3 linked regions of the Oryzias latipes genome follow. The protein of the gene in region 1 purifies or fractionates together with the protein of each later gene. This does not show direct contact. Links are inferred from orthologs where the notes say so. Each region holds a gene or a part of one and is shown on either strand. Other genes may lie near its edges. The genes, in order: cep76, cep97 and cep290.

Region 1 (3,499 bases):
ATGAAATCTTTCCACCTTTATCCACCTTTGTCATGGTAGGGAGAACACGTCAAAGTAAGGGGGGGGTCAAAGGATGGCACAAGGGTTTAATGAGTGATACTCTGAACTTTACTGCAACTTAAAAGTTTAAGATCGATTTCAGAGATAGGAGAACGTGGAAGGATAAGTGAGTGTTCTCCACAGAGAGCACTGACCTGGACTACATCCCCAAAATCCTTCAGATACAGTACAGACCAAAAGTTTGGACACACCCTCTCATTCAAAGAGTTTTCTTTATTTTCATGACTATGAAATTATAGATTCACACTGAAGGCGTCAAAACTATGAATGGCATGTGGCTGTGTTGGCAGATGATGTGAGCAGTGATCTTCATCGTCACTATGTGCTCTTCCTGCAACCTCCTCCATAGCTTTTCTTCGGGTTCTTTATTTTGAAAATCACATTCTACTTAATGGGGACAATGCTCTTAAAGACAGACACCCCCACCCCCACCTTCTGAGACCACCACATTCTTTCTTGCTGCAGATTGTTGTATTTTTCTGTTGACCTAAACAAACCTGACGTTTGATTTGATCTGGACGCACCGTTCATCTCTTTCAAAAGCTAGTTTTGTAGAAATCTCTCCTGTTAATGCAAACAAAAGTCAGCTTTTCATGGAGAAATAAACATCTTTAATGTTCATAAGAAAAAATGTGCAATCAGGAAAAAAATACATTTACAATGCTTCTATAAAAGAACACAGTTAGAAAAAATATCTTATTTGCCAAAAATAAATAACTAAACTTACAACTGAAGATTTTGCTTATTCCTGAACTGGTATCTGAGAACAGAATATTCCTGTAACTGCTGGTTTTACCGTCATTTCATGATGGATTCAGACGTTTTGTGATCAGAAATTGTCTGCATAAAGTGTCTTGATGCTGTGCAGCATTAGAGTACAGAGCGGTATTTGCATGCAAACATGAGCCACACGGCACACGCGTTCTCAGGATATATGAAGACCCACACACGGACGGCCAGCCTCACACTGTCACCTCGGCAGCAGATGATCTCCTCACAGAACGGAGACCTGAAAGATCACAGAACAGAAAAATGAGATCCGCTAAAAAAAAAAAAATACATTTTAGTCTACGACGCTAAACACCACAATCAACAAAGCTTTAGAAAAAGAAACCAAATGTCTGCACAGCAATGCAGTCCAAAGCTGCAGCCCTGCGATCGGCTCATAAATCCCTGTGACAGCATGATCCAAGCTTACAAATATGAAGATTTGTTCTGCAACTACAGTTAAAAAACAACAACCACACATTCTGCAACACCTGTGTGAATTGATTCTAGGAGGGAGAGGGTGTACAGAAATGACAAACACAATTATAGGGATTTGTGCAGTACTAAAGTACCAACACTCTAAATACAAAAGCAGGTTTTGTGTCTTCTAAAAGTACTTATTATCAGGCTCATTTACACAACAGACATTTGGGTTGGAAGAATCTGGAAACCTTTTCCTGTTTCTTGTAGTGTCTAGCTGTCACAGGAACAACAATGACATCAGAAGGTGGTCTTCTAGAACCGGTTACAAGGTTGATGCTCGGTGTTGTGGTGGCACGTCCAAACTCAGAAGTGGACAGAATGGAGTTTGTGCATGCAAGTCAAGCTCAGACTGGCTCATTCATGTGTCACTTTGAGAAATGGTACAGAGTGATGTGGTGGAACAGGAGCCTAAAGTACGATGGATCTGGCTAAATCCTGTTGGTTTGTTGAAGTATTCAGAGCTCCTTTCACTGGAGCTAAGGTCAAATTCAAGTCCTGAAAAGATACCCCCTGTTTAACAGGCAGAGTGTTGGTTACCTCTGACACTTTTGTGGCCAACATACTGAGGTCGACTAAAGCTGAGGGTCACCCACAACAAACAGTGCCGTGTTTGTTTCCTGACTAAATAAATCCAGAATACTTTACCTTTAGTTATCCAGAATAACAGTTTGCAAAACTCATAAAGGAGTCAGACTCGTGGTGCATTCACGCCATACACGATTTGCGTGTTCAAGGGCACTGAGTTTCAATGTTAAGTCAATGTACAGAGCGATCTGAGGGCATGTGGCCCTATGTGGGCGTGGCACGGCGAGGTTGACGCGCCAGTTAGGGACTCAGCTTTGGGCAAGTGACGTTTACAGTGGCTCGGTCAAAGGGTAAACAAATACATCCAATATGGCTGCTTGATGTATCCATTCATCTTCTTAACCCGCTGGGGCCGCGGGGTTGTCAGGTCGAATTAAGACTACTACGATGGCAGAGCGGTCCGGCCGGACCCTAGGCGGCGCTGTTCAGGGTGTACCCCCCCACCCCCTTTGCAACTCAGCATAGCAAGCGAGCAAGCAGGGGAAGGGGATCGAGCGAGCACCGCTGCCTAGGGCCTGGCAGTCACTATGCTGGCCCACGGGTAGTTAGCTGGCCAGCGGACAGAGAGCCACAGCAGGTGCCGCGATCGCTTTAGCTCCATGTTTATCTTATTTTCATCGAGGCAATAAAAAAAAAAGAACCCCGTTTTATTTTTATTTTCCCCCCAGCCAGTTCATACTCAAACTGAGCCACAGACAGACAGTAGTAATGTTTAAAACTGCCGTCATCCAGGCGCAGCTCTCGCTGCTGGAGTTAAGCACCGGGAGAAACTCTGAAGGATCTGGTGAACACAGACATGGCAACGAGCTTGCTGGCGCCTCTGTAGAACTCTCCAAAACATATAAACCCAAGTTCTTCGCTCAACATCATCCATGTTATTCAAGATGTGGCAACGAATGAAGTCCAGAAAAACTATGGCAGTTGCTCCGTCGTCGGGTGTGGAGCAGTTAATTTGATGCGTGTCAAGAGAGAGGCGGCAGAAGCAAATTTGATGCGCAAATCGCGTCCAGTGTGAATGCATCATCAGTTCTCCAGAAAGATCGTACCTGAGGCAGGTGGCAAAGGCTCTGCGAGCGTTGCGGTGCAGGAAGTGTATAGGGAAACCTTTAAAGGTTTGTCCGTCTGGCACAGCCCTCCTCACTGCGTCCTGGAACTCTTCATTGCCGCAGGAAACTCCAGTGCAACGCTCCATTTCATAAGCGGACAGAGCCGAGGACAGCAGGTAGCAGAGATGGTCGTCCCACACTGTTCCCAGATCTAGGTCCTGAAGCAGATGGCTCATTTACAATCCCACAAACAATAAATGAACATGTTTTTTTAAGGAATTTCTATGACCAATAGTTTGTACTCAACCTTTTCTGCTGCACACAGGTGGCCCACTTTGTATCATGTAGGTTGTATATGTAGGTTTTCCATCAAACTTAAAACCACTTTACCTTCCTGTGCTCATACACCAGGTAGCGCATCTCCATCTCAAGCTGGTTGCTGGCTGCTGAAGGATCCAGAGACGGGGCACATAGAGGAGGCAGAGGGGGTAGGGAGGTGCAGGAGCCTGGGCCACAAACTGACCTCAGAGCCTCCTCACTCATGGCTTTCCACCGGG
Region 2 (2,890 bases), on another chromosome or scaffold:
CAGCATGAACACTCATGGACAACTTTCCACCTCAAACAAAGAGGTGAATGTGTGTGACAGACGCTTGTTGAGTCACTTACTTTTCTAATTTGTCCGTCAGAAAGACGATGTGATCTTGCATCCTCCGCAGGCGGATTTCACCGCGCACCTCTTTAGCAGTGGGGTGACAACATCGCGTGTGCTGTCCTCTCCACCAGGACTGGATTTTAACAGCTGCTTTGTCTGCTTCTGTCATCGTTTTTCTCAAAAACAAACCCACTTCTCCTTTTATTTCTGCTCTGTCGGTGGACGCCTCAGGACCATCGAGTGGCGCTCCGGCTCCGAAGGCTGGCGGTGCAGGTGTGATGGCGCCAGCTTCTTTCTCTATAGTCTTCTGGTCCGGTTTCTCTGTTGGCGGGTGGCGCGTCCTGTGCGTCTTAGGCTGTGCCGGCCGTTTCAGAGCCAGAGAATCGGGCTCAAACGTCTCAGTCTCGTCTTCGGTGTCGGTGTGGGTCGTGTGCAGGTCTGTGTCTGATGTGAAGGGCAGAAACACGGACTCAGACGACAGCATGCTGCTGTTGAGTTTGTCCTCATCGGTCTGCACATCCTCCAAATAAATGTGTTCCTCTGCGAGCCTTTGGCTGTGAACCACCGGCAGCGATGCATGAGCGGAGTCACAGCTCACCCAGGTGTTGAACTGCACCACTGGTTCTAAGCAGGAAAGGTGGCAAAGAGGAAAATCCACTTCACATTTCCTTCCAAACAAGCAGCAACTAGCACACAGAGCTGCAAAGCCCCCTCACCCTTCTCCAGGACTGATGGAGGATCAGCTGGTCCTGGTGTGGTGACTTCTTTCTCCTCTTGAGCTCCCCCTAGTGGATGTGAAGGGCTGTGCCTCTCCACGTCAAGCTGGGTTGGACGTGGAGGACTGAGGCAGCCTCCCTGGGTCTCCTCTAACAGCTGTCTTTGATGAAACCTAAGACCAGAGCATCAGTCTTAGAGATATTTTTATGCAGAATGGTTACATATGATGCTCGTAGGAGGAGCATGGAGGGAATGATGAACAACAGTAGAGATCCTCACCTCTGCTTGCTGAGGATCTTCTCTAGTTTGGCGTTTTCTGCCGTCTCCAGCGCTGGTGATGCAGTCAGAGGGCAAACAGTCGCCAAATACTGACTCAGCTGGACGTGCTGCCCTGGACGAAATGAACGACCTTTACCCTGACTGTAGAGCCACTCAGCTTTCAGACTGAATCAGAAAAATATTTATAGTACAAATTAATTATTTCAAACACTCAAACATGTCTTTTTTTTTTTTTATCTAGAGCGTACACACCCTTCTTTTTGAGTCACCACATAGCCGTCCAGGACTTTCAGATTCAGACACCAGCTCATGATGTACGGTCGATAATCAAAACCTGGCAGGGAAGGAGTCGCCATAACGCAGGGGTTGCTCATTATGGACAGCTGCTCCAGCTCATGAAGTGATGCCAGGTACGACACCTAAACACGAATCAGAAGAAAAATGACTTTCAGATGCTTTCGTTGTGGAAGGAAAGCTGTATCAAAACCCAGGACTTACTTCATTCAGGTCCCTGATCTCGTTTTCTGCCAGCGACAGAATGGAAAGGTGCGCCGGCAGGTGGGCGGGAACAGTGCGGAGTGTTGTAATGCTGTTTCCATGAAGCAGAAGTGTCTGCAGCACCAACGGGGAAAGTCACCAACCAAACATCTTCACAGCCGGTGTGTTGTTTTAAGTAAGCGTGAGTGTCAGTTTGAACGCTGACCTTTAATGCAGCCAGTTTAGTCAGATCTCCAATGGTGGAAATGTTGTTGTCAGACAAGTCCAGGTGTTGAAGAGACACACAGCTGTACAGCTGTTCAATCACCTGTCACACATGAGAGTGCTGTTAAATCCATTCAAACCCATGGATTCAGCTTTACAACCTGAAAAATAAAACTGCAGAAAAACTAAAACAACTACCATCCTAAAATGTACTTCAATATTTATGTCAACACTTATGTTTAAAAACTTTTGAACCTGCTGAGTTTGAAATAAATTACAACAATTTATTGGAGCCCATAGCTTATCGTTTATTTGCAAATGTGTTTAGATAAAAAAGCAAAAGACAAATATAATGTGAACAGATCAAAACGAATTGTGTTGTTTACCTGCTTCAACGAGAGCTAAACTGGAAGTTGTGTTCAGATTTTACAGCTATTAAGACGAGTGTTGTGCTCTTAACCGCTTTAGGTTTTAAAACTGAGTTACGGAAAAACAAATGGAAACGACTGCAAGAGAAAGACGCTAAAGGTGATCGAGGTTTAACTTTGAACTTTACAAATCCAAAAAAAATTCATATTCATTTTAATTCATGATAATTTATATGGCGCCTTCAGATAACCACAGTCAGAACAAGGTGGTGTACATTTAAAGCTCAAAACATTAAAAACAACTAAAAGTGTAAACCTAAAGTAAAACAGTGTAAAATAAAAATGCTGTGTCAAAGGCCTGACTATAAAAATGTGTTTTTTTGTTTTTTTTTCCCCAAATGAGGACAGTGAGGATCCCTGCTGCACTCAGTAACACGTTCCACAGCTTCGGTGCACATAGTGAAAACGCTCGTTCCAGTCTGAGCTTCTTCCTGACCTCAGCACGTCCAAGAGAGGCTGACCTGACACCAAGCTGGGGTTTAGGGAGAAGCTCAGACAGGTATGAAGGTACGATTATTTAAAGATTTCAAAACAGAATCTTAAATGAGCTCTAAAACCACAGGCAGACAGTGAAAGGTAGCTAGGATGTGGCTCCAACCAGAACATGAGCAGCAGCGTACCGGACACGCGAGACGGACGACTGGCTGACTCCAAAATAAAGAGAATTCCAGTAATCCAGCCCAGATGTAATGAAGGCT
Region 3 (3,655 bases), on another chromosome or scaffold:
ATGAAGCGTGATACAGCCACGGAGAGCTTCTGTATTGCAGCACTGGATTTATTTATTTTGTACCAATATTGCTCTATGGCGTCCCTTGTGATTTTTAATCAAGTGATATTAACGTGAACTCAAGCTCCAAAAAGGTGAAAAACCACTGATTTAACCAGCTGTAAGCGATGCTTTACCTCAACACTGCCGACGATCTCACTCTGGTGCTTCTCGTAGTCCTCCAGTTGGCGCTCCAACTCCACTTCCCGTTGGTCTCTTGCAAGCTGTTGCTCTTCGTTAAGCTTAATGTCGAAAAGTAAATTACTGTTAAAAAGCCTCCTTCTAAAACTGTTAACACAATTTAACTCCACATAAGTGCAATAATTCTTCTTCTGAAAAGGTTGGGACGCTGCAATATTCCTATTTATTTGTATTTTATACTTTGTACTTTTTTAAATCTAATTTTGTTCTCTTCTTAAATTTTGTCTTGCTCTATATTCACCCTGACCTGAGAGATGCCAAAGAAAAATTCAAATGTACTGTATGTGCAAACGGCAATTAACCTTGAACCTTGAACCTTTGTAATGAAATAAAGCCAAAGTATTCTATATATTAACAAAGTAGGTTTTAGCCAGTTTAAAAATGTCTGGAGATTTTTATTTTCTCACTGTTTGCAGCTGAACAATTTCCTCTTCCAGTGAGCGGATGGTTTGGTCCTGCTCTCCCACAAGGTTCTTCAGGTACCTGATCTCCTCTTTCTGGAATACCAGCTCCCTTCCTTTTCTCAGTTCCTGCAGTCGAGCCTCCTCCATCCTTTTGTGCCACTCAGTTACCTGTGTAAATAGCATACTTGTGTATAGAGTGAGCATAAGATAGGTCAATAGGCTCATATGTTTCTTCTACAAACCTTCTGTGCTCCTTTTGCATCCTTCAGAGTTGACATGAGCCCTTGTAGGCCTTGCAGTCTCAGTTCCAGTTCCTCGGCTCTTCCCTGGACCCTCCGCTTCTCCTCCTCAGCTTTCTTCATCTCCTCCTGGGCCTTCACTCTGTCCTCGTGGAGTCGCAGCATGGCTACAGAAAACTTCTCCTGCTGAGGAAGTGGCAGCGCTCCAGCAAACTGCCTTCGTAGTGACTGGATGGTCTGCCTCAGATGCCTCGAGCGATTCTTGGCCTCTTGGCGGGCGAGGAAAAGCGAGCGCTCGGCGGCGTCCAGACGCTGCTCAGCTCTTAGGATGTGGGCCTCCAGCTGATGGATGCGAGTTGTGGAGGAATCCAGTTTTTCCAGAGCTGCCGACTCACTGAGCTGCAGAGCAACAATGTGCTGGTGGAGCTTTGCGATCAGAGCCTTCTCATCTGACTGTGACTGAGAAGATATTGTAGTTTAATAACCACAATTCAAACAGTATTCTTTTGTCTGCTCCTGATTCTAAACGATTTTAATAAGGAAATACTAAGAAATGCAATTTTAAGCTTAATTTTCTTGATATATATCCTCAATCAACAGAAAAAAATGCCAAAAGAACATGTTAAAGACACCATTTTCATCTTTAACAGATGTGGTTTCTATAGATCATTTGGTGTAGTAGAGCCCCAAGCAAAAAAACCACTTCACGTACCTGATAATCTAGTATTTGTGTCTTCAAAGCTTCTACTTCTTTATCTTTAGACCTGTGTCTGGCCTGTAAAGCAGCAACCTGAGTCAAAGCAACTTCTGACACCTCCTGAAGCCTGTCAAAAAGAATAAGATATGTTGAGTGCAACTTAAGCAATAACAGAAAACAATAGGTGTCTTTGATCGAATGATTTACAGACACAGGGGATTGTGTTGATCCAAAAGCACAGAAAAGCTCATTTTACTTTGAGAACATGGATCTATAATCAGTACTTCAGCACTAAGATCAGATTTTCACTTTTTACAAACAGGGAAAGAAATATGCTGAGAGGCTGTTATGTTCACGATTCCAAAACAAATGTTGATTATAGCCCAAGAAAAACTCTCCAGCTTCTCCCATCAAAACCACAGCCAGGAGAACTTATCTAAAAAACCAGACTCAACAAACAACTCTAACTTTTAAAATTTATCACCAGATTAATGGCTGGAATGCTTACGTAGTTTTCAACACAGCTTGTTTTTCGTGATAAGAGCATATTGATAGATTTAATACCGAGATACTCGGACATACTTTGAAACTTCAGTCCGGAGCTCCACCTCAGCCTTTTCCAGCTCTGCGATCCTGGCCCTGTCAGCATCGCTCACAGCTTTGCCGATGCTTTGCGCCAACTCATCTCTTAGCTCTCGCTCAGTCTTTTGGGCCTCAGCATTCATCTTGGTCAACTAAACAAAAAAAAGCAAAGAAAGGATTTGATAAAAGCCATTGTAGAATCAAGCTCTATCTAAGAAAACATCAAGAGCAAACAGAGAAACAACAGTCCAGTTTCTAAGCTTTGTTAAGCTATGTACAAAATCGCCCTTGGATGTGCACTCAAGCAGTCACTTCCGATGAAAAGTCTGTGTAAAGTCAAACTGTGTTTAAAACCCTCGTGCATATCGTGTAGGCATAGCTACATGTTTCTACGACTGTGTTTGGGCTCCATGTGCTAAACGTGTGGCCATTGAACACATGTTGAACTTTGACAAATCAGGGACTCAGACTTGGTAGTGACGTATGGATGATGTCTCCTTGAATTTTTGGAAGTGCCAACCGTTTGGAAATTGATCATGGAGAAAATGGTAAGTGGCGTAAGCTTAAGTAGCGCTTTTCTACCTTCTTAGGCAGCCCAAAGCACTGCACAGCCTCAGATCCATTCACTCACTCACACACCGGCAGCGGCTTCACTACACTGGCACCAGCTATTAACCCCCAGGAGCAACGTGGGGTTCAGTGTCTTGCCCAAGGACACTTTGACAAATGGGTTGGCACGGCAGGAACTGACACTGTAATCTTCCGGTCATAGTTTGGCAGCTCTGGCTCTGCACCGCGGCCTACAAATGAATGATTGCATTTATGCCGGGCTGGAATTACATGACACCAAGTCTTTCATAAATTGGAATAGAGCTGTGAATAAAAAAGCATGGAGAAAGACATGCGAAATTTACACTGTTTGGATAATTCACATTGAGCTTCTTCCAATTGTACATGGCAGACATGTGCTGGTAAACAGAAAAACAAGAAATAAAGGAAGAAGCCCCTCCCTGAGCACGTTTCAGAACTCTCATTTAGCGCATTCTTGAACATGCATCATGTGCCCTGTGTCTGTTAGAGTCACAAACCAACATGTTGACATAGAAATCTGATCCCATAGGTTCTGGATGATGCATAATAACAACACTGAAATTATTTTACAAACAAAGATGGATATTTTTGGCTACAATGCAAGAATTTAGCTCCCTAAACATTTTTACGTCTCCTTTTTAAGTTTCCTACCTTGGCAAATTTGGACTCCAGCTCCAAGTTGCGCTCCTCCACGTGCTTCAGGGAGTTCCTCACATGCTCGTACATTTTGTGGGCATGCTCGGCTCTCTGCCTCTCATTCAGCTCCTTCATCTCTAAAGTGGTGATCCTTCTCGCAGCAGAGACCATTTCATTGTTGATTGTTGCCTTGCCTTCTTTATCTAGGCCTGTTTCTGCACCTGGAGACAGTGAAATGAAAACAAACACCATGTGCAGGCCAGAAT

The links.
Region 2: the proteins of cep76 (region 1) and cep97 purify together in Homo sapiens (co-immunoprecipitation; 4 studies listed by BioGRID and IntAct, with this or other methods). This does not show direct contact. The link is inferred for Oryzias latipes from reciprocal best matches to the Homo sapiens genes CEP76 and CEP97.
Region 3: the proteins of cep76 (region 1) and cep290 purify together in Homo sapiens (co-immunoprecipitation; 5 studies listed by BioGRID and IntAct, with this or other methods). This does not show direct contact. The link is inferred for Oryzias latipes from reciprocal best matches to the Homo sapiens genes CEP76 and CEP290.

The regions. Positions count from the first base shown.
Region 1 is NC_019874.2:5,551,380-5,554,878, reverse strand, and holds the end of cep76 (centrosomal protein of 76 kDa), read right to left. Parts: coding exon 3,333-3,499; intron 3,161-3,332; coding exon 2,943-3,160; intron 1,070-2,942; coding exon 931-1,069; 3' UTR 649-930; downstream 1-648. UniProt on the Homo sapiens protein: Centrosomal protein involved in regulation of centriole duplication. Required to limit centriole duplication to once per cell cycle by preventing centriole reduplication.
Region 2 is NC_019879.2:10,880,711-10,883,600, forward strand, and holds part of cep97 (centrosomal protein of 97 kDa), read right to left. Parts: intron 1,868-2,890; coding exon 1,766-1,867; intron 1,675-1,765; coding exon 1,561-1,674; intron 1,482-1,560; coding exon 1,315-1,481; intron 1,228-1,314; coding exon 1,063-1,227; intron 956-1,062; coding exon 783-955; intron 691-782; coding exon 81-690; intron 1-80. UniProt on the Homo sapiens protein: Acts as a key negative regulator of ciliogenesis in collaboration with CCP110 by capping the mother centriole thereby preventing cilia formation. Required for recruitment of CCP110 to the centrosome.
Region 3 is NC_019864.2:2,301,197-2,304,851, forward strand, and holds part of cep290 (centrosomal protein of 290 kDa), read right to left. Parts: intron 3,611-3,655; coding exon 3,405-3,610; intron 2,315-3,404; coding exon 2,163-2,314; intron 1,708-2,162; coding exon 1,596-1,707; intron 1,343-1,595; coding exon 887-1,342; intron 813-886; coding exon 648-812; intron 282-647; coding exon 177-281; intron 1-176. UniProt on the Homo sapiens protein: Involved in early and late steps in cilia formation. Its association with CCP110 is required for inhibition of primary cilia formation by CCP110.